Rhinolophus ferrumequinum: one gene and its partners. The main gene of each other region encodes a partner of the protein of the gene in region 4 in a complex. Links are inferred from orthologs where the notes say so. Each region holds a gene or a part of one and is shown on either strand. Other genes may lie near its edges.

Region 1 (7,090 bases), on a different chromosome or scaffold from region 4:
CAAAGCAGGCCTATGGCACTGCTGAGTATCAATAACTGGTGTTCACATTAATTGTTGTATTAATTTTATATTGACTTCCATCTGTTCTATTCATCTATTATCTGTTATGTTCATCCCCTAGATCTGGTACATAGATGGCCCAGAATAATGAATGAATGAATGAACTCTACCTTTCAACAACTCTCTGTCGCTCCTTGAAAATACCTTTCCCTTGTCTACTAATTGCCTTTCAAATATATAAAGACAATTTTTACATTCCCTTCTCTTCTCCAGGGCAAACAAACATCCCATTTCTACAACATGGTTTTTTAGTGTTTCAAGATCCCCCCTAAATATAGCAACCAAAATGGAAAACAATACTCTTTATGTCATCTGCATAGTACGGAGGGGAAGGGAGAAGGGAGACAGCGTGCCACTGATGGCCCACTGAGTCGCAGCATGCCTGCAGGCTATGTTTTCTTATCCTCACAATTTATCGCTGAGAAAATAGAGCTATGGAGACAAGAAACAACTTGCCTAATTCACACTGCTAGCACATGGCAAAGCCACAATTTGTCATTAGACTAAGATACTGCCTTCCCTCAATCTGGACCCTACTTTGTTTCTATAAACGGAACATTACATCCTAGAACCATTTTTTGTCAAGTTAGGTCTTTCTCATGTCAAACAAGGACAACAACGTTTTTGTAAATTTAATCATTCTTGGTAAATTTGTATCTTATCTGGGCCTCCTATTTCAGTCTGTAAGAACTCGTTGAATCCTGAGTGTCATCTAACATGCTGGCTATCTTTGAGAAGCATGCCTCTTACATATTTAAAGTTGGTAATAAAAAAAAAAATGCTGACCAGAGTAAGAGCAAGACTAGAGCCCTGGAGCCTATCTCTAAAGACCTCTCTTCATTCAGGCTGACATCAAGTCATTAATCAACATTTTGGGTTTGGTAGTCTGAATGGATATAAATCCATCCAATTAGACCTCATCCAGTGTACGTGTATCTGTGTCTGCTGGGATAGGAAGAGAGATTATGTTCAATGCCCGAAGGAAACCTGACTGAACTCAGCGCCCACCCACTATCAACCTAGTACATTTATAACAAAAGGAAACATGGTTTGTGTCACCCAGCTTTTTTTGGACTGGAGCTCTGCTGGTTTGAGGGAATCAGCTCTCCTTTCCCAAATACGCACAAATGCTCTTTTTGCTCCCCCAACAAGATTCTAAAATGGATTAATAACAGGTTCTAGCATCCAGCAGTCATCTAATTGCTCTGCAAAAACTGAGACATTGACCAGACTCCAGTCTTCTATCATTCACTATGCTTTTAGGATTCCTCTAAAGCTATAAACAATGATTTTACAATCTTATCTGCAAGTTCTCTGGCATATAATTTATCTGAGCCTAAATATACAAATGAGATTTAATCCAATTAAATGTTCTTAACAATCTCCACAATTACCCTGAACTTAAGTCTTCTTCATTTGTTTGTCCTTACCCAGTTTTGGAGAAAACAAACAAAACATTTTTTTACCTTCTAGATACTCAGTGAACTCACTGCTTTCCAACATAACCTGCAGAAATGAACTACAGTCCCACGCTACTTAAGGATGGGAATATGCTTTGAGAAATATGTCGTTAGATGATTTCGTTGTTGTGCGAACATCACAGAGTGCACTTATACAGTCCGAGGTTGTATAGCCTACTGCACACCTAGGCTATATGGTATAGACTACTGTACCTGTGCTACAAGCCTGTACAGCAAGCTACGGTACAAAATGAGATGAAATCAAGCACAAGAGAAAAGATGCAATCAAGATATGGGATGCAATGGAGAAAATGATGGAACCAAGAGACGCAGTAAACATGATGTATGGCGTAACAAGCATACTGTTTTACAGCAAACTTTTTTTAGCAGTGTACACTCTAAAATAGCAATAAAAAGTACAGTTTAGTAAGCACATAAACCAGTAACAGTCATTTATTATCAAGTATCATGTACTATACTGTACAGAATTGTATTTGCTATACTTTCATACAACGGGCAGCACAGGTTTACACCAGCATCACCACAAGGCCATAATGCCTTGTGCTACCACATTACGATAGCTACGATGTCACTAGTGATAAGAATTTTTCAGTTCCACTATATATGGGACCACTTGTACACTAGGTCCATCCTTGACCGAAACGTCGTTATGTGGGTCAAATGGTAGCATGACTGTAGCTCATTTCGTAGGCCAAAAATATGATCAATTTTTTTCTTTATGATGTTCAATTTTTACAAATGGCATTTACAGTTTAAGGATCTCCTTAGCAATTAGAATGTTTCTTTATTCCTTGTTGGTGCAAACTATGTTTTCAAAATGAAACAAATATTAAACATGCTTTATGCGTGAATCAAGCAATGTTTGAAAAAAATGAATACATTCACAATGAGACAAAAAACACCCCCTAAAATTAGACACCTCTGATAGTCACATTGGAAAATAAACAAAACACAATCCTGGAAAATTATTACATTTATAGTCAAGATTATTTAACAAGAAAGCATCTGAAGAACAAAATCGATCAGTCTACCAATACCACTACTATAATCACCCATTCTTCATTCAGCTCTAGGTGCTGGGGATACAAAAGGCACTTCACGGAGCTTTCATTCTAGCAATACCATTCACATAAACCTTTAATGAGTGCCTACAACTGCAAGGCACTGTGCTAAGTATCTCTAAGGAGCCTTAGAGCTTACCTTAAAAACATAAAAGGCCACCCGCAAGCTAACTGCTCTCAGAAGTTTCTAACGTCAGACGATTTCGCGAAAGCTCCATTTAACTGGCAATCCAAATTTAGGAAGCGTTACCGACCATGCTTTGTGCTGGTAATAGCTGAAGAGCCTTCAGAGAACTTCGATACTAACGCCTCAACTTTCTGAAGAACAATTCCTTTAGTAACAAAGCGAACCAACCCAGAAGAGGGCCGGTAAGAACGATGTCTCGGTAAAAACGAATCTAATCGCGGAAGTGCCTTTTCCTCATTCCTAGTCCCACCCTTGTTACATGGCTCTTCAGACGCCAAAGCCGGAGTACGCCAGATGTGGAACAATACCCAAAGTCTCAGGTCTAACCAAGGTTGGGACCGAGACACTGCAAAGTAGTTGGGAAGATGTGGGTAGGCAGCGGTTGTGCGGCAGAATGTGCGCGCGCGTTAAGACCCCTGCCCCTTCTCACCACCTGCTACAAAGTCCCCGAACTCTAGCCGTCCCTCTCTGAGAGAGCCGCTACCTGTTCCTAGGGTACGCGCCGGACTCCTTCCTCCGCTCTTGCGCCTCAAACCCTCTCCCGAAGCCCGTCCCGCAGTCCCGCCATCGCCCGCTAACTTCGATCTACACCGGGGGTAGCCGAGGGAGGCGGAATCCAGGAAGAGAGACTCCGCCAGCGGATGGAGACAGTTGGCCAAGCCCTACTCCGACCTCCAGGTACGCGGCGGGGGCGGTGGGCGGCGCTACCAGTGGTCCGTGGGTCACTCACCCTCGCCTCAGGCAAGCCCCTTAGCTACGTCTCTCCTTGCCGACTGCGGCCATCTTGGACGTGGGATGTCGGGGAACTACGTCATCGCGCTGCGTCGGCGACGGAAAACACGCGACGGGAGTCGCCTGTGAACCAATCAGAAGAAAGTAGAGCTCTCAAAGGAGGAAAGAACAGCCAGTCTCCTTTCAGCCCCTCCCCTCAGGAGGAGGAGCCTGACAGAGGACCCCTCCCATAGTTCCCGCCTCCGGGGCAAAGGAAATTCGGGAGCAACCGAACCTGCTAACGGAACTTGGACGCGAGAGGTGGGGCCCGGGGCTGCCCACTCTCCAATCAGCGCCCGGGCGTGGCGTAGCCCCACCAATTGTAGCCCCTGAGCTGGCGGGGGCCGAGCCGGCCGCTCGGGCCCAGGAGCCCTCTGGCCCAATGGCCGGGGAGGAGCCCGAGCTCAACGGTAGGGGGGCGGTGGGGCGGGGCCGTGCCCATGCCTATGAGCCGGAGGCCAATGGGCGGCGGCGGCGGCGGCGGCCCGGGGGCGGGGCCCGGGGGCGGGCGGAGCCGGGTTGGGCCGCGGCGGCGGGCCGTCTCAGGCCGCGGTCCCGCCCCTCCCGTCCGGCCGCAGCCGCCGCCGCTGCTGCCTGGGGCTTGGTTGAAGCAGACGGTGGGTCTGGCCCGGAGTGTGGTGCCGCTGCGGCTGCGCGAAGGGACCAGCGGGCAGGTGAGTGCTGGCGGTGGCCCCTCCGCGCGCGCGGCCCGCGGGCCAGATTCGCGCCGTCGTTCCCGAGCGCTGAGAGGCTGCCCCCAGCCCTGGCCGGCATCCCTCGGCCGAGGTCCGGCCCGCGCTCCGCTGGCCGCTGCGGGCCTGGGGTGTGCTAGGCGGTGGCGCCCTGGGGCCCGGAGGGGAGGGCGGGGTATGGGCGACCCGGTGGGGTCGGAGGGTGCCGCTTGGCCTTTGCCCTCCGGCCCTGCCGGGACGGGGGCGCACTCGCCGCTGCCCCGCGTGTTCTTCTGGAGCCCAACGCTCCGGTCCCCGCTCCGCCCGCCGCCCAAGGTGGTGGCAGGTGCAGGGAGCGCCGGGCCCCTCGTCGTCCACCGGGTGGGGCCCGGGCCCCTTTCCCTGGCGCTCGTAGGCTCGGCTCAGCGTGCGGCCGGCTCGCGCTCTCGCTTCCTTCCTTCTTCCCGTCGTCACCCCGCTGCTTGGGTGAAGGCTGTGTGTGGCTTTATGTTCCTCTCTCCAAATCTCAGGTGCCCGCCGGGGTGCCCCGGGGTGCCCGAGGACTAGCCCCTGCTTCTCTCACTTTCCAGTTATGAAAACAGTCGTTGAAAATAGGTCATCTTTCTTCCCACGCGCCCTGGCCATCTTCCACACGCTTCGTGCCCTACTAGGGAGAAGAATTCAGTGCTTTGGAGTTTGTCATTCCGGCATTAAACTCTTTCTCCTCGTGGCTCCAGCCTGGCGACGCAGCTCTGCCTCTCCGACTGCCACTTGGGGAAAAGGAGAGGATTACTGTCGGGCGCCACTTGCTGCGGGGGGCCTCACGCCCGCGGTGTGTTGACACATTTAGGATCACTTGAAGGGTATTTTGCTTTTCCAAATGAAGACGGTGATGTTTCAAAAGCAAAAATAAATTTATAAAGTATATGGACAGTTTAATTTTGCTTTTACTAGGAGCCTTGGAAGAGTTAACCTTTTGACAATGGACCTGACAGTAGTTTGGTTATGGTGGTGGTTACCCAGCTATACACCTGTGTCAAAACTTAGACCTGGACCCTGAAAAGTGTGAATTTTGTCGTATGTAAATGATACTTCTCCCTACCCCATTTTTATTCTTAAAAAAATGACCCCATTGGTATTTCAAAACTGACCTAACCATCAACCTCTAAGAGGTTTTCCTTACTATTTTAAGGGAATGCATTTACCTCAAGAATATAGCAAAATAATCACACTTTCCTCACCACGGTTAAAACTTGGCAAGACTTGCTTGAACCATGGTGTATTGTGTCTATAGAGGCTACGGTGCCTGCAAGTCCTGCCTTACCAAATGAGTCCCAGGGGCTGCTGTGATTGATATTTTGGTAAAGTTCCAGCAATTTAAGGAGTTTTTCTCTGGCCCAAGAAAGTAGTTTGTAACGCCAAATTCTCAAACAGCTGCAGAACAACCTCTTTATTGGGACCCCGAATAATCTTGGCTTTAGCCTTCTGCTACCCCTTCCTGTCTGCTCTCCTTTCTCTCTGTGTATTCAACTTTGTGAGTTAATATCTGAAATGAAACTCCAGTCTCAACCAGTAAAACGGTTGCTGCTTCTCACCTCCAGCATGCTAACATCTCTCAGTGCTTTTTTTCCTGGAATACGAATGATGTTGGAGTTGATAATTAAAACTTTTATGCCCGCATGTGCGGTAGGAATGAAAGTTTCTGTTCAATTCTGTCAATAGGGGTGCAGTAAGATTGTCAATAAGAAAGGAACACTTACTGAGCTTCTCTTCCTTGTGGTGAACATTTAAGCCATGTTTTAAATGATAATTAAACCTTTGCTTTAGAGGCCACTGGAAAATGAGAAAACTAGAGGCCTTTCTGCAGATTTTTTCCATTCTGAAGTTCAACTGTCTTTATTTTGAGAGCTCTGATAACAGGTCACAATGGACTCCTTAAAACTTGATGCTCTCATATTAGAAGAGAAGGACAAAGGAGATGGCAGCCGGAGGAAAGAATCAACATTAGTACAACAGAGGCTTGCTTGTAGTAAATATTTAGTAGGTAATTATTGAATTCAATGAAAACCGGGTACCTAGTTTGTGCTGTGTGGAATTTTGGTGACAGTACGAGTAAAAATCTTACCTCCTAGCTCAGGGTTACTCTACATTGTTTTTAATTCGATGTCAGTTTAGTTTGAGGCTTTCCAAGTCTCTTAAAACGTTTCAATTACATACTCTCCTTTTTTCTTATCACTAATCTGAAGTAGCTTTTAGAAATGTAACTAATAATAGTGTGTCTTTTTTTGTGTGGTTTGATGACTATCTTTCACTGGGAGGGTTTTTATCTTTAGAAACTGGTTTGTCTGCCCCTGGCTACTGTGCATCGTGCTTCTGTTGGGGCGTGGGGAGGAAGAGTTTCAAGTGTGTTTCCTCTCCTTGGACCTAAATCCTGGGAATGGGGCCTCCCCTTTCCCCTGCGGAGGAGCAGTCATTTATTACTATGGCATTAAACATTTTTAACAGAAGAGTGAATATATCTTTATTATGTTATTTTGGAAGTTGCTTGTGGCCGGTTATTTTTTCAATTAGCTAGCATTCTAATTGAGGCCAATGTTTTGATGTCCTGTGTGCAACCTTTTTCTCTTGCTGTAGTCATAGCAGTGTTCATCTTGGCTATCTGTTCGTCCTGAGTCACATTTAGCCAGTTAAGAGGACTAAGGAGTCCTTGCTTTTAAATTTTTCTAGTTTTCACTTCTGTTGCGTTTACAGGTGTACCTTACTTGGCAAAATTGACTTCTGTACATTGGATTTCCTTTTATCATCTCACTTTCCGATTCATAAAGTTGGAGATGTCAATCAAGTGTTTTTATCTGCAGA
Region 2 (7,438 bases), on a different chromosome or scaffold from region 4:
GCATCTCACCATCCCTGGTCACTCTTGAATTTGTAGGCAGCTGCAAGTATGTGGCACAGGGAGCCTCCTGCTTTGAAATCTAGGAAACATTTGATCTACAAAATTGAGACAGGGAAGAAGTATATGACAGTTACATCCACAATTCTCTTGTTACTTAACAACCCTTTCACAAACCCCGTGCCATTGTATCATGTGGCCTGGGAGAGGGGAGAGAAGAAACCAATGTTCACAAAGCCACCTTGTGCCAAGCACTTACTGGGTTACCTCACTGACCATTACAGAAACCCTACAAGGTAGGTATACTAATCCCATCTAAAGATGAAGGAACCGAGACCCAAAAGGTTTAACCCAAGATCACAGAGACACCAATTGGCAGAGCCAGGATTTGAACACAAACCTGTGTAAATTCAAATCTCATATCCTTTTAATCATAACACAATAGTTTCATGCACTGACCTGACACTCTGAGATAATCTGTTGTACAAAGTATTACTAAAACAAAGGGAGTGGTAAGTTGGGGACTAGACCAAGGCAGTAATGCGCTGACCAAGGATAGAGATGCTAAAAACTTTACCCAAATATCAAAAAATCATGAAATTTACAAAACACTCCCTCCCCAGTTTGGAGGATTCCCCCCTTGCTTTTGCACTCACCGGCAGTTTGGTTAACGGTGCGTTGCTGACATGTTTGCCAAAAACTTCTTCCTGAAATTGTAGCAACTGTACAACCAGGCTAGACAGAGACTTGTTGGTGGGTGGTTCAGCTTGTATATACTGGGGAAAAGAGAGAAAGAAAAGAAAAATAGACCCCAGAAAAACTGTCCACCATTTCCCTTATTACTTTCCCAGGAGCTCTGGAAGCATCTGGGGCAGAGAAAATTGTATCTTCTTCCCCCACATGTCAAGTTTCTATAACGAAAATGGTAGAAGGGAGGCCCTCTACGCCCCTCACCAGGAAGTTACAATTCTGCTGCCTCCAGCCCAGGCTACCAGTGTTGGGTGCTGGGGACAAGGGGGGGCCTTGGCTACACCCTGAAATTGGAGTTGCAGGACCCTAACTCTCTAGCCAAAAGCACTGAGGGTTGTAAAATCCTGAAGATTCGACAGGCAATGAAAGCAATACCTCTGAGGCTCTAAGCAAGACAATAGTGTATTTCTTGGGGTAACATTGTGGAAGTCCAAGATTCCCCCTATAATGTGGCCTAATAAGAAAGGTGCACGGAAACGAGGTAGGGAAAACAGACTGAGAGAGGGAGCTTGGGCAAACAGAGAGGGAGCTTGTGCATTCCGCTTCTGCTAGGAACAGGGCACAAATGTCTTTGCAGGTCCTCCTAAACGACAAGGACCAGCTACTACTTAGCCTAGTGGGAAAGAGCAAGACAACACCTGTCTTTTCTGAGGAAACCTTATCTGAGACAAGTAACCCTGGGCCTTCTTAAACATTTCCATAGTATGCTACCTAGCATCCTAGCCTTCTAATTAAAAACTGAGCCAGGACGCTAACTTTCTCTTTGCCTTTTGAACCGTTTCCTGAACCCTAATCACAGAGAAGAGTGCTCTTCTCAGTGCAAGGTGTAAAGAGATCCTTGAAGGAAAAGGTAAACGACGAAGCTCAGAGCTTGAAAGCTGAACCAGGTCACAGGCTGTCACTCCCCTAAGGGCCAGAGACTAAGCCCCTAGACTGATCTCCCTTCCAAAAGGTCAAAGGTAGAAGCCTGGGAACCAGAGCCTCAAACTGGGGTGCAGACAAGCCACAGACCCAGCAGCTATTTGTCAGGATCCTGACACCCAGAGAGACCTCTGAGAGCTCATAACCAAGAACAGAGGGGCATTCTCCTAAACCACTCATCACACTTCTGACAGGCTGCAAAGCTGGGCAGGAAGAACTGGGGAGCTGAAGGAAAGCCAGAAACAGAATCCCTCTCAGGGTAGTGAGAAGGAAGTGAGGCAGACCATCTCCAGAGAAAAACCATATGTTTAGATGTTCCTTTCAACAAGGCCTAATGACAAAGACAACACCAGGAAAAGGTTCGGTAAAAAAGATAGGCAAGGCTTCTTGAACTCTTTGTTCACTACCTTATTATCTCCAGTTATGGTGCTGGGGGCTAGAGGTATAAAGAGTGCCCTAGCCTCTGAACCCCCAACCAAGGCAATTCAAGACCAGGTGGAGGGAGACTGCATTGTGCAACTGAGGAATGGTTTAAGAAGGGGTCTCTGCCAAGGAACTCCTATACCCTGGCTCCCAAAGAGGATTTCTTGTCGCTTGGCTGGAGGTGGGGACGAATGGCAGACAGGTGATCTCAGGGTGGGGGCCTTTTTCAGGCAGATGGAGCAGCCAAGGGCCTGCTCTGTGGCTGTTAACCCTCCTGCTTTCATCATCTCTCTCTGAACGTACACAAAGCACCAGGGAGGCCTCAGCCCTGCTGGTACCTGGCTCCGTGAGGGGCTCTGGCGGGCACCGTGGCGGGCACGCTGATTGGGGGGGATCGACACCGGGTCCACCGCTGGCCATCTCTCCCGGAAAAGCCCGGAAGGCGATAGCTCAGGGAAGGGTGGGCTGCTGGCACCGAGACCGGCCGGGGCAGTGAAGAAAAACAAGGGGCAGAGGGCGCAGCATTTCTCCGGAATCCCAGGCCGGAGGGGGGGCCGGTGAGAGGCTGGAGGAGGGGCGCAGGCCGGAGGGCGCGGTGGGGGCTGCTCCCGAGACCGCGGAGGAGGGGCTGCGGGCCGCGGGCCGCCAGAGGGTGGGCAGGATCCCGGGGCGCTGCGGGGCCGCGGTCCCTTTGTCCCGCCCCCGGTCTCTGCGCAGCCTGCCCGCGTACCTTCTTGTAGTTCTTGCCGAGCCAGAGCCGCACGTTGTCGAACTGGGTCACGGTGTCCGCGGCCTCGTAGTACTTCACGTTGGGGCCGCCGTCCTTCTTCCGCACCGCCATCTTCTCGGGCTCGGGCCCCGCCGCCGCCGCCCGCCCCGCTCAGCTCAGCTCCCGCCTCCTCCACCTCCTCCTCCGCCCGCCTCCCGCCGCCTCCCGCCGCCACGGCAGCCGCCTCCCGCCGCCCTGGCCGGCCCCGGCCCGCGCAGCGCCCCCTGCTGGCCGGCAGGGGGCGGCGGCGGCGGAGCGCAGGGCGCAGGACCGACCCTGGCGGCCTCCCCGGCGGCGGCGGCGGAGGGAGCCTTGGCGAGGTGTCTGCTTCCTGGAGGGGGCGCCCACTCTCCTGAGACCGCTCTTGACCTGACGTGGAATCTTCTTCCTTTTTGCCTCTCTGCTCGGGAAGTGGCACCTGTATCTTATCCTAATGGGATGCCCATCGTCTGAGGCATCCCCCACTCCAAGTGGTCGTCACCTTGCACATTCCTAACCCCACGGACCTCCTAATCCCAAGGAATCCCCTTTCCCCAAGATGTTTCGTCCTCGTCCTTCCTTCCAACTCCAGGAGTTCCCAGTTTAAACCCTAAGTTTTCTTCACCTTTAATTCCTTGTCCCAGCACTCCTTTTCACTCCTTAACTCGAGGAGTCCCCTAGCCGCCACCCTCGGGGCCCAGCCCCTTCCCTCCAAGTGCTTCCTCTGCAGGTCTCGCCATCACCTCCTAAATAGCTTTGCACTCCTTGAGACCCGTCTCTTTTCCTTTGAGTGGCGTAGAGAGAGGTAAGGAGCGGGGGCTGGGGGGGTCACAAGATGTTATATATGTATTGGTCTGTGGCTATGGGTATGTGGAAACGGCACGGCTTCCCCGCAATGCCGATTCCTGCTGTAAGTGTGAGGAGAAGAGCGGTTTTGGAAGTCACGGTGGCCGAGTGGTTAAGGCGTTGGACTCGAAATCCAATGGGGTTTCCCCGCACAGGTTCGAATCCTGTTCGTGACGTTAGCTTTTTCCGGGGCTCCGCCGCGCTACCACTTCAGGAAGTATAAAGGGAATCCCTGGTTTTCGCACGTGCCTTTCGTGCACTTTCCTTTCTGTCTGGGAAAGAAAAGCCAGAAGATCTCAAGATTTCACCTTTGGATTTGGGGGGGGGGGGGATGAGGGTGATCACGGAAGCTTAATTATGCACAACCTTATAGGCTGCTAGAATACAAGGCAATTTCAGACTTGTAGCTTTGGCATACATTGTTTCATGCTTTTGGGAGGGAATAGCAAAGGATTTGGTTGAAGAAGGGTTAAGTTTTGTTTGGGTATGTAAATGCCTGTTGTGCTATAAAAGTCAAAACTGGCGTTTCCAGGAAAAGAGGGCACCTCTGGATTTCATGACCAGAAGTCACATCTTGTAGGTCTGATTACAAATGAAGACCCAAGAAACAGGGCATTCTCTCATTTGGATTTCCTCGAGGAGATGCACCTCAGGTACAGAGCTAGGGAGAGTAACCTACTGAAACCAACACTGCAGATCCAGCTGGAGCTAGTGTGGGAAGATAATTATCACTTTTTATTGAGTCCTCATTATGTGTCAGGTAGTTAACCAAGCTAGAGAATTAATCCCTTCTCTAACCTGTCACGCTGCTATACTCACTTCCCGTGGTTCTTCCTACCCACAATTTCTGATTGTGGGGATATCTAGGACACTTGTGGAGGATGTTCTTTTTGTATTTCATTTTTTGTACAGCAGCATCTTCTCCAAAAAGAATCCCCAAAGGACAGGGGGTTCAAGGGTAATTCATAGAGCTTTCTAAACATTTACACTTTGGAATTTCCCGCCTTCATACCATTGCTCACGCTGTTCTTTCCAAGGTCACCCTCACCACTGTCTCCTTCCCCCCCTCCAATCCACAGAATGATCACTTTCCATTTGCACATCCTTTTACCCCTTCTCTTTGAGGCTCTTGATTACTCCAGCTGGAACCTATCAGGCTACCACCACCATCCACTAGATTGCATGCAAGTCATCTCCTTTGACACGCCTCTGCAAAAATTAAAATAAAAACAAATTATGTTCTACCTCTTAAATATGTTCAAGTCTCTCCACTTTTCTCAGGAGTGAGTGCAGACTGGACCACTTGCTGGAGCCTTTATGTGGAAAATAGGGGTCACTGTGAGGACTACAGAAGTTAATATATGCAAAGCTCCACTAAAGCATGCCCGAGACCTTCAACTTTTCCATAGCTGCTTTTGGTGTTTCATGACCTGGTCTCTTTTCTCTCACCACTCTTCCATATTCTCTACATTCCACCCATGGCAATCTTTTAATTCCTACTGTAGTATTTGTTCATGCTGTTCTCTGCCTGCAATAATTTTGCTCATCCTCACCTTCTACTCAGTCTCCACTTAAATGTTGGTTCTCCTGGGAAGCCTTCTCTAACCACCTGTCACTCACCACATCCTACGCCCTAATCTTACTATGTGAAGTCTTTCTTCCCCTGTAGATGTAAATTCTTGGCACATATAACCTCCTCAATAAAAAAATAATTTTGTTGAGTAAATAGATGTTTTTACAGTATTTATATGTACTTGTTTTAATCTTCACTCAGACTGGACTCTAAGCTTCTTGGGAATTAGGACTGTGTGTTTTATTTGTTTGTATCTCCTGTACTAGGTCTTATATAGATGTGATCAAATATGTACTGTAATAGAATCTTACTAGCTCAGTGCTCAGCTTTCTACCATCCAATTTTGCACACGCTCTCAGATTTAAATATCTGGAGAGCCAAGACCAACAAGGACCAGCAGAGGGCAACCGACAACTATGTTGTGAAAGGAAGAAGGCTCCACGGTTTACAAAATGGAGGATCTGAACTGAGAAGGAGAACAGAAACAGACAGAGGTGGTTTGGTATTTGGGAGATACTACCTTTTGCTCTCAAATGCTTCCCTTGTAATTTTAGAGGACTAGAGGCCACGGCGTTGGACTTTCATGAACAGTAGATAATTTCCAATTTTCACTATATCCACAGCCCACCCCAACTCCCCGATTCTTTCATCCTTCCCCTTCCATCCAGACAAATCCTCTTTCTTTGTGTTGCACGATCAGGCCCACCTCTCTCTCACCATTCTTACATATTTATTACGTTCTACCCACTGGTATTCTTCAGTTTCTGATTCAGTATTTGGCCTTGCTCATCTGTCTGCCCTTAAATAACCTTCTTCGTCTAGGCTTGCAATCCCACTCATTTCAACCTCCTAGGGAACCTTCCATAAATAAACCTTCCATAACACATTCAAATTCTACTCCACTGAATCAATCCTTATTTCAGAACAAACAAAACTACACTTTCACTTGACACTTCCAAAAATTTTCTACCTCCTTTCTTGAATGAAATGTATACCCTCTGCCTCCAGCTCCATACTATCTTAATACCCCAAGGTAGAAACCTTTGCTGTTTGAAACCATTGATTTCTTAATGGATTTCAGAGACATTGTATTCATTGTTTTTCTCTTAGAACACCTTCTCCATCTCATTTGCTTTCTCCCTCTTCCTGTGGAATTCTACTAAAACTTCATTCTTTTCCCTCTTCCCAAGAAAAAAATCCCAAGCCACTGTTCCAGGCATGGCCTCCCAGCCAAACCATGGTCCTCTATCTCCAACTGCCTATATGTCTACATAGCTGACCTAATGTCACCTAAAACACAAACAAAACTTCTCTTCCTTTCCCAGAATCGCATTCTCAATCTTTTCCATTTATGCTACTATTCATAATTCCATCTAGTTTCCAACCTTAAGAAATATCTGACATTTTTTCCTCCAGTGGCCTTCTAAGTGCCCCAGTTTCGCCACACTTAAATCTCTAAAAACACTGCTTTCTTCATATTATTCCCATGTCCAGGAACTTCAGCGCCCCATCTGATTAAATACATGCTCCAATTATCAATACACCCTGCCTAAATCACTTTTTTTTTTTTAATCCTTAATTCTTCCCAGTAAGAGACCCCAATCTAATCAGGTGCTAGCTTAATTCCTTCTTTCATGAAGCTGCTTCTGTCTACCTCATAACCAGAGACTAGCTAATCCCACCGTAAACTGATCAAAGCTACAAATTCTCAGATCTTAATCAGAATTGCTTTTATGTAACTAAAAGGCTAATGGGGGAGAAACTAACACGCAAGAATTTAACATAATCCCAAATTGTTGACTTGTTCCAAATGCTAAGAGGCTTGGATCTCTGTAGTTTATCCAGTAAAGCAAATCATTAGAGGACTTGAGCTAAAATGATCTCAACTGACACTTGTTTCAGGAATGCTGTCATTGTACAAAACATTTCTGGAACTCCTTCACAGCTAGTTTATGAGCCACATTTAAATGATTCATTACTTCAAAATTACTTTTTTAAAAAGCTGATGCATTAGCCAAGTTTATCATTTATCTATTTTCCAGATTTTGTTCTAGATTACTCCTGGAATTCTCCCAGGTCTCCTTCTTAGGCTTCTTCCTGTTCTTTCCTTTAATGTTTATATTCCTAGAATTTCTTGATCACCTCTGGGCAGGTAACTCCTAAAGCCACATCTTTAACCC
Region 3 (7,239 bases), on a different chromosome or scaffold from region 4:
CAGGGTTACTGTGGGCAAGGCCAGGCTGTGGTGCTGAGAGGGGCCTGGCAGAAGGGCACCACTCAACTAGCGCCTGTCACCTGGCTGGGCGCAGACTTCCTGGTGGAGAAGGACCAGGAGTACTGTGTGTGTGAAATGCCCTGCAATCTGACCCGCTATGGCAAGGAGCTGTCCATGGTCAAGATCCCCAGCAAAGCCTCAGCCAAGTACCTGGCCAAGAAGTTCAACAAGTCTGAGCAGTACATAGGGTAAGTGCTCTGCCTGCAAGGCAGGGCCCTTGGGCTGGGCCCGCGAAGGGTGAGTGGGCTTTGATGAGGTCTGGCAGACAGGAGGAAGTTGGGTCTGAAGTGGGCGTGGAGGAAAGACCCAGGCAGAACAAGCAGGGAATGCGCCTCTTCTTCCTCCTCACCTCATGCTCTGTCTTCATCCTCCTTGCTGTAACTGGGATCACCTCACACTTACCCGTGTGCACAGCATCTTTTCATATCCGCCATCACATTTAATCTTCACAACAACCCTAGAAGGCAGGTACCCCCATCAGCATCTCATGTGATGGATCTGAAGACAGAGATTCAGAGAGGATAATTTACCAAGGTCACCTAGCTAGCAAGGGACAGAGATGTGACTTGAACCTAGGTCTCCTTCCCCAACCCCTTTGCAGGGAGAACATCCTGGTGCTGGACATTTTCTTTGAAGTCCTCAACTATGAGACCATCGAGCAGAAGAAGGCCTATGAGATTGCAGGGCTCCTGGGTGAGCTGCTGATGGCACCTGTTCCCTTCCCATGTCATGGGCATGGTGTGACACCCTACCACCCAAAGCAGGCTGATCACGTCTGTCCCCAGCCATCCCCAGGGGCTTTTCCCCAAATTCTGCTGTCTTGCTATGTGGTGGGGGGAAGGGGCTGAGCCTTCTTTTAGGGCAAAGTGGAAAAGATAGGCCTGTGGGCATGAACAGGGGACTATTTCATATGCCCTTTAAATTTTGCCCAGAGATTAAGAGTGTTGGGTATTTTATAAACAATTATTTTTTTCCTGAATAGTACCTATTCATTTTAGAAAAGTAGAAAAAGATGCAGAAAAGCATAAAGAAAATAAAACCCCCTCTCAGAATCTTTGCACTCCTTCTATAAAAAAGCTGTCGATCATTTTGCAATTATGACTTGCCTGCCCGTTTCAGTGAGCTCCCATGGTGTCTTGACCCCACTGACCTCCCTGTGCCCCCTCCACACAGGTGACATTGGGGGCCAGATGGGCCTGTTCATCGGGGCCAGCATTCTCACAGTGCTGGAGCTCTTTGATTACGCTTACGAGGTGAGCAGGGGCGGGACCAAAGGGGCGGGGATCCAGGCTGCCCACACACCCACCCACCACCCCACCGTGTCCCAGGTCATTAAGCACAAGCTGTGCAGACGAGGGAAGTGCCAGAAGGAGGCCAAAAGGAGCAGCGCGGACAAGGGCGTGGCCCTCAGCCTGGATGACGTCAAAAGACACGTGAGGGAGCCAGTGAGGGGTGCCCTCCGGACCCGCCCCTTACCCCACCACCCCAGGACCACCCCTCCCCCGTGCCCCAGCGCCACCTGCGGCCCTTTCCATAACCAGTTCCTGTCCTGTGCCATTCCCCCAGAACCCGTGTGAGAGCCTCCGGGGCCATCCTGCGGGGATGACGTATGCTGCCAACATCCTACCTCACCATCCGGGCCGAGGCACTTTTGAGGACTTTACCTGCTGAGCCCTGCAGGCCACTGTACCAAAGGCCTAGATGGGGAGGGCAAGGAGAGCAAGGGGGCCCTCAACTGCCCCCCACATCTGCCCTGGGGACCCACTCTCCTTCCCAAGGCAGCCCCCCCGCTCCTGGGCAGTCCTTTCCTCCTGTGTGTGGTGAGGAAGGAGGCTTGACCATAGAGTCCTCTCCCTGTCTCTATCCCTTTCTTTTTATTTTTAACAAAACTAATCTGAAAAAGAAACTGAAAAGAGAACTGGGCAAGTGACCTCAGGCTGCCCCTCTCTGCTCTATGCTGCCTCCCTCAGCTCCCAGCCTGAATTCTGTCTGTCTGGCTGTCTGTCATCTGAGTGTCCACCTACATTCTGCTGCCACCAGTCACCAAAGCCCCCTCCCAGTGGGGGGTGGAGGGGATCCTCTGGGTCTGGAATTTGACCCCAAACCAGAGAATGTACCATGAAGGGGAGGGATAGTGGTGGTGGGGGGGGCTTCCCCAGCCTTAAGAGACCCTCTCAGCCCAGTGACTACCCCCCCAACCCCAAGTCTCCAGGCAGGAACTAAGACCCTAGTACCTACCCCCCCACACACACACCATGTGAAGTCACTAGGGTGGTGGGGGTGGGGATCCCCTGAAGCAGTGGAGATGGGGACAGTGTGTGGCCCTGGTGCTGTAGGCCACATCCTGATATCTACCACCCCAGAGCTGCTGGAGAGAAATCCCAAGAGGCATCTCTCCTCTACCATCCCCTAAAAGATCCAGCTGGTTGGCTTCCAGCTCAGGGAGAGGGGCGCTGGTGCCTAATCTCACTGGTCCCTCTCCCCGGGGCCCCTGCAGAGGGCCACATCCATAAATTTTCTTATGGAACTGTCTCAAGTCCTCTTCCCCAACTTCATTTGCTTCTCTCCACAACCTCATCTGCATTTTCTATTTCTATATGATACAGACTCTATATTGCTATATCTCTGTATATACTTTCCCCTAACTGTCCGTCTCTACTCCATGCCCTCTTGTCTCTAAGAACCATCCTCCCACTCCACCCTTCCTGTGTTTCTGCTCCCTCCCTGGTTTATGAATGCCTTCGCCTGTATAAAGAGTTGGACTCTCTCCCCTGGTGTCTGTACTGTGTACACACATCCCTCTGAGAAGCACAAGGAGACGACACGCGCATTGTAACCTTCGCACTGTCTCGGTGGCGACATAAAGGAAGCTGTGAATCACAAGCTCTGCCTCTTTCTGGCCTCACCCTCTCCCCACAACCTGGGTACCCTCTGCCCCCCCTGCAGCCTTAACATCCCCTTTCTTGCTCTATCCACCCCAAAGTCCTTTGTGTGGCTGACTGTGGCCTCTCGGGGGAAGGGATTGCTACCGAGAGAGCCCCCACCCAAGGAATGGAGACCTGCTCTGCACACTAAGCCAGGGGTACCAGAAACACAGGGAGCTGTGGACCAGTGACCCCTTCAGGTAGAACAGCAAGCGCTGACAGGCAGACGCTGAGGTCCTCAGTCAGTGGCCTTTCCCTCCTGGGTGCCCAGCCCCTTTCCTAACTGGATACCCAAGCCCATCACTTACATTTTTTGGTGAGGTATGGTTTGGTAGTGGGAGGAAAGACACAGTCCTAGAGGGGAAGTTGAAAGCTCTGCTGTTCTGTCCCTCCCTAACTTAAACAGAAAGGAGTGAGATAGAGGGCCTGCCACGCCCCCTCCACCAGGCAGTTCTCCCAGGCCAGAGCCCTGTTCCTTCCCAGGCTTTCTCTGCCCAGCTGTTTCTTGGTCTCTCACCCCAGAACTGGACCTGTGGCAGGTCACCTGTGCAGGCCTGGAGCTGGAGAGTGAGGCTCTAGGATCTTTGGGAACTCTTAGTTCCTAGGAGTTCTTTAGAGAGCAGACCTCTCCAGAGGAAAGCAAGAGCAAGGCCAAGGGGTGTGCACCGGATGGAAAACAGCAGGCAGGGCTATGGGTGACGCATGCCTCTGGTCTAATAAACTGGATTTCAACCATCTCCTTTTCAGTGTCCTTCTTCTCTTATTTGAATAGTATTTAGGCGTTCCCATTAAGAGCCTAGAGCTGAGCTTGGCTTGGAGCCAAACATTCACAGGAGGAGTAAGGCTTGAGCAGGGAGACCCTGGTCGTCCTGGGATGGGACAGGCTGGACATCACACCACGAATGGTTTGAACCACTGGACAGTGAAAGAGGGAGGGGTCAAAGGCAACAAATATCCCAAAGAGAAGTCCTAGCTCAAAGGGTTCTTTGGAGTGAGGGCAGGGGCAAAATTCAAAATAAACTTAAAATCTGGAAGCAGGTTCGGTTAAAAGTCAGGGACAAAGTTGGGTTGAAGTTCTAGCGTGAGGTTAGTTACTGAGGCACTTTATCTGTGGAATGAGCCCCAGGCTACGAGCCTGAAGATCTGGATTCTAGGCTTTGACTTTACTGTTCACTTGTTGGTTGACCTTTGCCAAGTCATATACTTACTCAGTTCAGCTTTCCCATTTGTAAAATGGATTAAACAGTACGTTTTCTTCAGTCTTCCTGGCTTATAGCAGTAAGAGAAGGAAACGAAAAACAAAGCGCTTTGGAAAATTGATCGCACTACGCAAGATGAAGCAGTTATTCCACCACCCTCTTCATCAGGACGTTGGGTCTGTGGCGGTGGCACCCCTTTCCAGGGCCTGTGTTCCTCCCGTCGGCCTGGGGGCGCCCGCTCACAGGGCCTCTCTATCCCAGAGCTCGTCTCTATGGTTTTGCCTTCCCGGACCGTGAAGGCGGGAGGGAGTGGTCAGCACCCTTTTCCGCTAGTCGCCCCCCTCTAGCCCACAGTCTCGCTGCCCTGAGTCTCCCGTGCCGGCCGGCCGGCCGGGAGGACTAGCGGGCTCGTGGGGGGCCCGAGGTGGGCGGGGGGAGTTCCGGTTCCGGTTCTTTGTGCAGCTGCAGCAGCGGCTCCGGGGAAGATGGCGGCCCGGGCGGGTTTCCAGTCTGTGGCTCCGAGCGGCGGCGCCGGAGCCTCAGGAGGGGCGGGAGCGGCGGCTGCCTTGGGCCCGGGCGGGACTCCGGGGCCTCCCGTGCGAATGGGCCCGGCGCCGGGTCAAGGGCTGTACCGCTCCCCGATGCCCGGAGCGGCCTATCCGGTGAGTGGGGCGGGAGGAGGGGCGCGCGGGCCGGGGGCGGGGCCGAGCGGGGCCCTGGGAGTGACAGCGGTGGGGGGAGGAGTAGGAGGGACTCCCCGGAGAGGGATTCGGGCCCTGAATGGGGGTGGGGGAGTCAGTGAGGAGGAAGGAAGGGAGGCAGTTAGCATCCCCACCTGCTCCTAGGGGCATTGTTTCCGTGGGGAGTCAGGGTATAGAACTATGGAGGACGAAGTGGGGCGGAGGGTGGGCTGATGAGGGCTGGAATGCAAAAGGGCTTGGGCAGCTCCAGTGCCCAGAGGAACACACACAAGGTAGCTGGCAAATTGAGGTCAGCTTTCAAGGAAATAGTACCAGGTAGTACTGAGTAAATGTGGAACTAGAGGAGATAGAGGAGATGTGCAATGTGTCAGATACAAAATAGATTAGGGAGAATTTGAGTATAATCTGGCTCTTAGCTTTTGGGCTGTATTCTCTTACAGAATCATGACTGGAGCAGAGGAAGCTCCAGTTATCTGTAATTCAAAGAGGCAGAGGGCTCTTCTCCCATTGTGCTCCACTGCCCCTCTCCCCCTCCCCCAGCCTTGTTTCATTCAAAGACCTGAAGAATCCCCCCACTTTTTCTTTCTTGGTGGGTTTCGTAGGGGAAGCCATGACATCTCTGGGTCCTCTCCCCTCTGTAGAGACCAGGTATGCTGCCAGGCAGCCGAATGACACCTCAGGGACCTTCCATGGGACCCCCTGGCTACGGGGGGAACCCTTCAGTCCGACCTGGCCTGGCCCAGTCAGGGATGGACCAGTCCCGCAAGAGACCTGCGCCTCAGCAGATCCAGCAGGTCCAGCAGCAGGCGGTCCAAAATCGAAACCACAAGTAAGATGACCCCAGGGAGGAGGGGAAGGAGAGAAGGAAGGGAGGGAGGGAGCCTGTGAGAACTCAGGTGGTGGGAGTATCTGAACCAAGAAGTAGTGGTGCTGTGTCAGCCGATGGTGCTTATTCTTGAGAATGCCTCATGTTGGTTGGGGGTTTGGGGGTATGTCTTTGATTTGAGAGAAGCTTTACAGTCCTTTCACTTTACTATAAATGGAGGTGCTGACAGCCTGTCTTCATGTTCTGGCTAGTTCCATCCCAACCTGATAACAGTATTTGTTTTGAAACAGTGCAAAGAAAAAGAAGATGGCTGACAAAATTCTACCTCAAAGGGTGAGTCCAAGCTGTAGGTCTTCCTGAGGGTGTGGTGAGTTTGAGAATAGAGATGGCCAGCTCTATATCCCCATGATATCTTTCTGTTCCTAAGATTCGTGAACTGGTACCAGAATCCCAGGCCTATATGGATCTCTTGGCTTTTGAAAGGAAACTGGACCAGACTATTATGAGGAAACGGCTCGATATCCAGGAGGCCTTGAAACGACCCATCAAGGTAACGCCGGAGCGCACTAGGCAGAGAGCCAAAGGAGAGGACTTGGGAACGTTCAGTAGGCTTAGGATGAGCAATCAAAGGCACAGCACAGTTCTCCTTGGCATTTAAATTACATCTTTCCCTTCCGCCTACGAACTGAGAATTATATTAGAAGTATAAGAACAAAATAGCAAAGGGGGAGGGGCTTTTGATATCGCTTGCACCAGAAATTTACCCTGTCCGTGTTTTTGCTATAACTGCTCTACCACCTTGGGAACCTGGCACCTTGCTTGACTTTGTCCACCTGGCATCTCAGTGTATGCTCTTGCACTCAGACCAATGGCCTGTATTCCTCTTCTAGATGGAATCTTCATCCACCCACCCCAGGGACTGGGTAGACAGTGAGCCAGTCTGTTAGGAGTAATTTTGGGGCTTGGGGAGACCCTGTCTTCAACATCAAACCGTTGAAGCCCCACCATCAATCCTGTTTCTGCCTTCCTCAGCAAAAACGGAAGCTGCGAATTTTCATTTCTAACACTTTCAATCCGGCTAAGTCAGATGCCGAGGATGGGGAAGGGACGGTGGCTTCCTGGGAGCTTCGGGTAGAAGGACGGCTCCTGGAGGATGTGAGTTCAAGGTCCACTGTGGTCGGCGTCTAGGGTGGGAGCTGCTGGGGACAAACAGTGTTGTGTGGTTGGCAGGAAGCCTGACTGGTGCTCACAGCTCCTGTTGGGAACTGCAAGGAAAGGGTCACTGTATGCCCTGTGCTAAAAGACAATGGTTCTTTGTGTTGGTTCCCACAACTTGGCCCTCATTGTGGTATCACATTGAGAACCATATTGTCCTGGGATTTGATTTGTTGTTTACCTTCCTCCTGATGCTACTGGCCGTTAAATTTAGCAGTATGTGCAGATTATTCTGAGAGAAAGAGAGAGAATGAATGAATTAAAATGAATATGAATGTGTGTGTTTTAAATCAAGTGAGTTTGCACTTAGCGTT
Region 4 (7,057 bases):
AACTTTGGGGATGCTCGCTCCAACCGACTGCTGTCACCTTCACCGTTCCAGTTTTTAAATCCTGAGTCAAGCGCCAAAAAAAAAAAAAAAAAAAAAAAAAAATCAAAAAAACAAAACAAAGAAAAACAAATAAAGCCATGCCAATCTCATCTCGTTTTCTGCGCAAGTTAGGTTGTCAAGAAAGGGTGTAACCAACTAAGTAACAGTCCGCCTAGAAGCATTTGCGGTGGACGATGGAGGGGCCGGACTCGTCGTATTCCTGCTTGCTGATCCACATCTGCTGGAAGGTGGACAGCGAGGCCAGGATAGAGCCACCGATCCACACCGAGTACTTGCGCTCAGGGGGCGCAATGATCTGGGAGAGAACAGGACAGTTAGCATAAGGACCTTGATGGAACAGCCCCAAGGGCTGTGCGTTACCCCAGAAAGGTTGCCTTGACAACCACAGGTGGCTGCATCCTACAGTAAAGTCAGCATGGGAACTCTCTAACACTCCATGTGACCAGGCCAGCACAGGCTGCGCGGACACTCACCTTAATCTTCATCGTGCTGGGAGCCAGAGCGGTGATCTCCTTCTGCATTCTATCGGCGATACCTGGGTACATGGTGGTCCCACCAGACAACACTGTGTTGGCATAGAGGTCCTTGCGGATGTCGACATCACACTTCATGATGGAGTTGAAGGTAGTTTCATGGATGCCACAGGATTCCATGCCTGAGGGGAACAGAGGCCAGACTTAGCTTCCAGTGTGGCCACAAGGGTGACCATTGTGTGGTGGCAAGGTCAAAGCCTTACTCACCCAGGAAGGAAGGCTGGAAAAGCGCCTCGGGGCAGCGGAACCGCTCATTGCCAATGGTGATGACCTGGCCGTCAGGCAACTCGTAGCTCTTCTCCAGAGAAGAGCTGGAGGCCGCAGTGGCCATCTCCTGCTCGAAGTCCAGGGCGACATAGCAGAGCTTCTCCTTGATGTCACGCACAATTTCCCGCTCAGCTGTGGTGGTGAAGCTGTAGCCACGCTCTGTGAGGATCTTCATGAGGTAGTCCGTCAGGTCCCGGCCAGCCAGGTCCAGACGCAGGATGGCGTGGGGGAGGGCGTACCCCTCGTAGATGGGCACAGTGTGGGTGACCCCATCACCGGAGTCCATCACAATGCCAGTGGTGCGGCCAGAGGCGTACAGGGACAGCACAGCCTGGATGGCCACGTACATGGCTGGAGTGTTGAAGGTCTCGAACATGATCTGTAGGGAAAGATGGGCCACTTCACTCTCAGGAAGCCATCAGACAGCCAGGCCAAACTGGGAACATGCAGAGTGCAAGGAACGCCGCTAAGTGTGCTGGGGACCCCAAGATGGGGATTTTCAGATCTACTGTGCACCTACTGAATACACACTCCCAGGCCACTTCACACCATCCTCATTGGGTTTGCCACATGAGCCAGTGTTAGTACCTACACCCACAGCACTTTATACTTTAAACACCTAGTCAGAAAACCAAACACGAAAAAGATTCCATCTGGAAAAAAGCAAATAGAACCTGCAGAGTTCCAAAGGAGACTCAGGTCAGAGAAGAAAATCCTAGGAGAATGGCAGAAGAAAGAACAAGTGAGAAAAGGCGTGGCACAGAAGGGCCAGAAAAGAAGGAGTGGCTTCCCGAGGAAGGCCAGTAGAGCACTGACCTGGGTCATCTTCTCACGGTTGGCCTTGGGGTTCAGGGGAGCCTCAGTCAACAGCACAGGGTGCTCCTCAGGAGCCACACGCAGCTCATTGTAAAAGGTGTGATGCCAGATCTTCTCCATATCGTCCCAGTTGGTGACGATACCGTGCTCGATGGGATACTTCAGGGTCAGGATGCCTCTCTTACTCTGGGCCTCGTCGCCCACGTAGGAGTCCTTCTGGCCCATGCCCACCATCACACCCTGCGGAGGGAGGAGCAAGGCGCCCTCAGCATGGGCACGACCCAACGCAGAAAGCCCAAGGCCTCCCCTGCGGAGGAGCCGACTTCATCTTCCGCCCGTTCAGAGACCCCACCTCCCAAGTCAGACCCGAGGCTGGCGTCCTACCTGGTGCCGGGGGCGCCCCACGATGGAGGGGAAGACAGCCCGGGGGGCATCGTCGCCCGCGAAGCCGGCCTTGCACATGCCGGAGCCATTGTCGACCACGAGCGCAGCGATATCGTCATCCATGGCGAGCTGCGAGGAAAGGGGACCATGAGCCCGCGTCGGGTGGGGCGGCCCCCGCCCTGCCCACTTCCGGCAAAACGCGCCTTCGAGCCGCCAGAGGGCGCCGGCGCGCGCCGAGATTGGGGACAAAGGAAGCCGGGGCGGCCGCGTTATTACCATAAAAGGCAAACGCTGGTTAGAGACGGCCCCGCGGCGCGCGGCACGAAGCCAGGCCTCCAGCCCCTCCCCAGCCGCCGGCCCCGCCCCTGCCCCGTTCAAAAAGCGCCGCCGACCAGGCGCGCGGAGGCCACACCCGCGGGAGCCGACGGCGCGGCCAAGAAATGTGCGCATGCGCCTTGGCGCCGCGGCGACCCACCCCTTCCGGCCGACCGCGGCGGCCAGCCCGAAAGCGCACGCGCAGGATCAGTGGTGGCCCCAGCCCCCACCCGGCCCGCGGTCCCGCCGCGCCCACCCACCCACCCACCCTAGCAGCCGGTGGCCCAATGGAGCTAATTGTCCGTTCCGACGAAGGCCCGCGGCCCCGACGGTAGCACCCTGGGCGCACGGCCCGGGCGCAGCCCGGCCCCGACCTGGGAGGCTCACGAGCCCCACTCCCCAAGCTCAAGTGCTGCCCTCGGGGCCGAGGCGAGAGGCGCTGTGTACCCGGGGGAGGCCGGGGCCCGGCGCCAGTCAGTTCGCCCTGCCGGCTTGGGGCCTTACCTGGAGGTTGTGTAGACTGGCAGCGGCGGCGGAGCGGCGAAGGCGAGAGGCCTGTGTTGGCGGGTGGACGCGGACTCGGCAGTGGCTGCGCGTCGCGCCGCCGGGTTTTATAGGGCGGCGCCGCGGCCGCTCGAGCCATAAAAGGCAACTTTCGGAACGGCGAGCGCTGATTGGCCCCGCGCCGCTCACTCACCGGCCTCGCCGCACAGTGCAGCATTTTTTCACCCCCTCTCCCCTCCTTTTGCAAAAAAAAAAAAAAAGAGAGAGATGGACTGGGAGCGAGAGCGAGATTGAGGAAGAGGAGGAGGGAGAGAGTTTTGGCGTTGGCCGCTCTTAGGAGCTGGGCCCGCGGATGAAAGGTGCAAGCCGTGGGCCACCGCCCCGCTGGGCAGTGCTTAGTCCGGCCAGGCGTAGCCAGGCCTGGACTCGGCCTGCCGGTCTCTCCGTGTCCCCCACCTCGGGACCCTCCGGGTGTGGATGTCACATGTGCCGTGAGCTCCCCGCTCCCCCGTGGGCACAAGAGTCAACATAGATGCGAGGGTCCCTGGTTGCTGTGGACGCATGCTTAAGGAGCAGTTGTGGGGGAGGGGTGGTTAGGGAGTCACCATCCACTCTTCCCAACATTGGCTCAACTACCCAGAAAGCCTGGGTTAGGGTACCTCTGGCCCGGGGTGCTCACCTTGCTAAATGGGGATCGTTTCTACTCAGAGACCTGGAGCTGCGAAATATGATACGGCCTGGGGGAGTCAGGGGGCTTGTAGCTACTTAACAAGGGCCTCAGGGCCACAGTCCCCAGGGACAGGGCAGGCCCCCAGGAGCCAGTGGCTGGAAGTTAGTTGCCTGTAAAAAGGCCTCCAAGGCTTCCCTGCTGCCGGCCTGGGAAGAGGTGGGTTCTATAGAGCACAGAAACTTGTTCCCATGGAGCCAGGCTACCTCTCAGGGCTGCCTGGTCACACCCAGACAAGGCCAGGCCTGGGAGGTTAGGCCGGTGTCCAGGGCAGCTGCCAGACACTGGTGGGCACTGGTAGGCAGGCAGGACTGCTCAGCACAGCTCTAGAGCCCATCCATCCTCTGTCATGTGTAGCCACAGCTGAACTGCCCTCCTGGACCATCTGGAGGTCCCCGAAGCCTGGGGAAAGGCACTCAATGAGCCAGAGATGAGTTAGGGTTGGGGGGGCGTGGCATAAGGGACAGTGGCTGAAGAGCAGCTGCCTTCAGAGGAGACCCTCTCCTTGTCACTCTTTATTGCCCTGAGACATTCCAGATACTAGGCAAAACTTGGGTGTCCTGTTCTGGGTGGTTCCCTGCTTTGAGAGCTGCCAGTTAGGCAGGCAGAGCCTGTATCCAGAGGGTGGCCAACAGTGCTCAGGGTATGGCAGACAGAAGCCCAGGGGCTGTGGGACCCCAGAGGGACATCTGTGTGGCTCTGCCTAGAGGAGCATGCACCTTCTCAGAGGTGGTGACAAGAAGCTGCATTGTCACAGGAATGAGAATGGGAAAGGTGGTTTAGGTGGGGGCACTGACCTGTCACCACTGGTCTGTCTCCAGCCAGGCCTGCCCAGGGCTTTGCAGCACATAATAGGTGCTCACTGAGAGAGTGTTGTAACCAGTGACCAATTAGTCCATATATGGGAGTGGAATGTGTGTCCAGGGAAGAGGTGGCTTGGTCCAGCCCACTGCCTAGGAGGCTGGTGGCAGGTCTCTGAAGGTTGTGGAGGCCACAACCAGGTGGGAAGGGTGACCGTCACCTAGTGCACAGCAGAGCCCACAGGCTCAGAGCCACATGCTAGCATTCCCAGATAACTGCCAAGAAACTCGCTGCAGCTCCCCAGTCACCATCCCCGCCCTGGGTGGACATTCCTAGCCTGTCCACTCCCGGCTTCCCAAGGACCAGACTGCTCTGTCCCTGGCCTGTGTCTCTCAGTCACGGGCATCTGGCCAGCCACCTTGGGACCTGCCAACCCTGTGATTCAGGGACTAGGGGGTGACCCTTTCTGCTGCCTGTTGATGAGGCTACTTCTGGCTGTTCGCTGAGCCTGGAGGGGTGCTGGGTAGGCTGGGACCAGGGCTGCAGGGCATGGGATGGGAGACTCTGGGATGGCTCCAGGAAGCGACACGAGGTGGAGAGCAGACCTGGTCCCCAAGCAGGACTTGTGCTGCCACCTCACCTCTTCTAAACCAAGGGCTGGCCAAGACTGGGACACCTGACCTGAGACTGGGACAATCCCGGCCATCTGTAGCAGCCGTTTCCTGGTGCTCTCCTATGCATCCTTCAAGGCCCAGCCTAGAAGGTCCCTCCTCAGTGGGAGCCCTTTAGCATCTGCAACATGCACCCTCCCCCCACTTAAAGCAACTGCACTGGGGCAGCATCTAGAACTCAGCCTACCCCACCAGACTCTGCTGGAATGTTTCATCCCCTTTCAGTTACCCCTCACTGAGCACCTACTGTGTGTGCGGTTTCTTTCCCTTCTCAGCCCCACCTCAGTTCCTTCCTCTGAAAAATAGAGCTGGGGGTCCATCCTCAGCAAACCCTTCCGGAGTCGCCATCACATCCACTATACCCACCCCAGGGCTCTGCTTTGTTGAATGAGTGAGTGCCTGGGTGTCCTTCCTCAGCCCTTACAAAAGACCCTAGGCAGATGGAGGGTATTTGGCGGTGGGCACTGGGCCACAAGCCTTGGAGGAGGGGAGGAGCTGCAGAGAAAAGGCAAGCGGGAGGAGGAAAAGAGGAAGTGGAGTAGGCCAGAGGAAGGGGGAGGAGACCAGCGGGAGAGGAAGTGAACAGGTTCTTCGCTTGGGAACTTTGCCCTTGCAGGGAGTTTCAGAGCTGTCACTGGGGCAGGCACACAGCCCACACTAGCTCAGCCAATGGGGACTTCACCTGCCTTTCTGGTGATTTTTTTCTCTTTGTGGTTCCCCCACCCTGCAAAGGCCTCCAGGCCAGGGGACATTTACAGTCCATTCCAAAGGCCCACTCCCTCACCCTCTTCCGGAAAACAGTCCCCTTGCCCTGAGTGTTGGAGCCCCTTTGCCGCCCCACCAGGTGGGGACCCCCAGCTCCATTTTTCAGAGGAAGAAACTGAGGTGGGGCTGAGAGGTGGAAGAAAGACCCACACACACACAGTAGGTGCTCAGTGAAGGGTAACTGAATGAAGGGATGAAACATTTCCAGCAAACACACTCTTTTTACAGATGAGGAAACTGAGGCAGGACTGGTGAGACACCCAGGCCCAGAGTCCAGTGTGAAGGACTCTAGGCCCAGTCCCCCACCCCCTACCAGGCCTCACACTGCCCCTCCCTGGGTAAAGTGTCCCCTGAAGTGCCCCCAGGGACTGGGTCCAAAGGCTGCTCCAAAGTCTAAATTCCTCCCACCCCAGCCAGCTCTTATCTCCTGAGGCCCAGAGAGAACAACCACCAGCCCTTAGTCAGTAATGAAATGGGTCCTGAGGCTCCAAGCCTGTTCTTTTCTGCCACTTCTTTCCCTTGCTTCCTCCTCTGCTCCCAGGATGGTCTCAAGAGGAGATTTTGGACCTCAGGATTCCTGAGGTTCTGGGAGGGACTGGGCTTGCCATTCCTCTGCCTGCTGCCTAACTTGACCTCAGCTTTCAAGGCTAGCTCTCAGGCTGCCCTCTCCAGGAAGCCTGCCATGACTTCCTCCATCCTCTACCATAACAGCTGTAGCTTTCCTGCTCAGAGAGGGGAGGCAACCCAGCCAGGATCACACAGCAAGGGCACAGCCAAGAGCCAAACCTCCTGGATCACATTGCTCCTGCATCCTACGCACCAGCACCAACCAGCCAGGCATGCTTCCAGAACACAACAGCACCGAACAGTTTTGAGTAACACCCTGAATAAAGCAGGTGTGATCCCTGAGACACACCTCAAACAAGAGAGCAGAGAACAAAGTCTGATGGCCTATGAAGGAAAGCAGCAGGTTTCCTTAGGAAGGAGGGAGCTCCTTAAAGGGCAGTCAGGGAAGGTCCCCCCACGAGGTGACCAGCCCGAGGTGATCAGCCCCTGAAGTGAGGCTCAGAGGCAGAAGGGAGGGGCTGGGCCCTGTGTGCTCTTCTGGGCAGCAGCCAGGGGCCTGGTCCCCACCCAGGCCTGGCCTTTAGCCAGAGCCCCTCCCAGGGCCCTCAGGCCCAGCCTGCCCTGGGCCTTCCCTGCTCCCTGATGGA

The links.
Region 1: the proteins of ACTB (region 4) and SETD3 are in contact, whole or in part, in a crystal structure (PDB 6ICT), measured with the Homo sapiens proteins. The link is inferred for Rhinolophus ferrumequinum from reciprocal best matches to the Homo sapiens genes ACTB and SETD3. Residues at the interface, in NP_001092.1 of Homo sapiens: Leu67, Lys68, Tyr69, Pro70, Ile71, Glu72, His73, Gly74, Ile75, Val76, Thr77, Asn78, Trp79, Asp80, Asp81, Met82, Lys84; in NP_115609.2 of Homo sapiens: Cys36, Ser37, Ile148, Ala151, Met152, Asn154, Ile155, Asn212, Arg215, Gln216, Val248, Val251, Met252, Thr253, Arg254, Gln255, Asn256, Gln257, Ile258, Pro259, Leu268, Ile271, Trp274, Asp275, Cys277, Ile284, Thr285, Thr286, Gly287, Tyr288.
Region 2: ACTB (region 4) and SMARCC2 share a complex: the UniProt entries of both Homo sapiens proteins name them as parts of the BAF complex. The link is inferred for Rhinolophus ferrumequinum from reciprocal best matches to the Homo sapiens genes ACTB and SMARCC2.
Region 3: ACTB (region 4) and SMARCD1 share a complex: the UniProt entries of both Homo sapiens proteins name them as parts of the BAF complex. The link is inferred for Rhinolophus ferrumequinum from reciprocal best matches to the Homo sapiens genes ACTB and SMARCD1.

Annotation. Positions count from the first base shown.
Region 1 is NC_046289.1:4,747,613-4,754,702, forward strand, and holds the start of SETD3 (actin-histidine N-methyltransferase), read left to right. Parts: upstream 1-4,080; 5' UTR 4,081-4,234; intron 4,235-7,090. UniProt on the Homo sapiens protein: Protein-histidine N-methyltransferase that specifically mediates 3-methylhistidine (tele-methylhistidine) methylation of actin at 'His-73'. Histidine methylation of actin is required for smooth muscle contraction of the laboring uterus during delivery.
Region 2 is NC_046293.1:55,536,447-55,543,884, forward strand, and holds the start of SMARCC2 (SWI/SNF complex subunit SMARCC2), read right to left. Parts: upstream 3,007-7,438; 5' UTR 2,933-3,006; coding exon 2,822-2,932; intron 774-2,821; coding exon 654-773; intron 96-653; coding exon 10-95; intron 1-9. UniProt on the Homo sapiens protein: Involved in transcriptional activation and repression of select genes by chromatin remodeling (alteration of DNA-nucleosome topology).
Region 3 is NC_046293.1:50,883,438-50,890,676, forward strand, and holds the start of SMARCD1 (SWI/SNF-related matrix-associated actin-dependent regulator of chromatin subfamily D member 1), read left to right. Parts: upstream 1-4,220; 5' UTR 4,221-4,668; coding exon 4,669-4,845; intron 4,846-5,525; coding exon 5,526-5,713; intron 5,714-6,000; coding exon 6,001-6,043; intron 6,044-6,137; coding exon 6,138-6,260; intron 6,261-6,742; coding exon 6,743-6,865; intron 6,866-7,239. Other genes in the region: ASIC1 (acid-sensing ion channel 1), read left to right, coding at 95-248, 662-753, 1,234-1,313, 1,389-1,493, 1,627-1,731. UniProt on the Homo sapiens protein: Involved in transcriptional activation and repression of select genes by chromatin remodeling (alteration of DNA-nucleosome topology).
Region 4 is NC_046307.1:41,580,546-41,587,602, reverse strand, and holds the start of ACTB (actin, cytoplasmic 1), read right to left. Parts: upstream 3,014-7,057; 5' UTR 2,993-3,013; coding exon of another isoform or gene 2,850-2,992; intron 2,599-2,849; coding exon of another isoform or gene 2,208-2,598; exon of another isoform or gene 2,196-2,207; intron 2,190-2,195; 5' UTR 2,184-2,189; coding exon 2,061-2,183; intron 1,917-2,060; coding exon 1,677-1,916; intron 1,240-1,676; coding exon 801-1,239; intron 716-800; coding exon 534-715; intron 356-533; coding exon 212-355; 3' UTR 1-211. Other genes in the region: translation initiation factor IF-2-like, read left to right, coding at 2,208-2,598, 2,850-2,992. UniProt on the Homo sapiens protein: Actin is a highly conserved protein that polymerizes to produce filaments that form cross-linked networks in the cytoplasm of cells.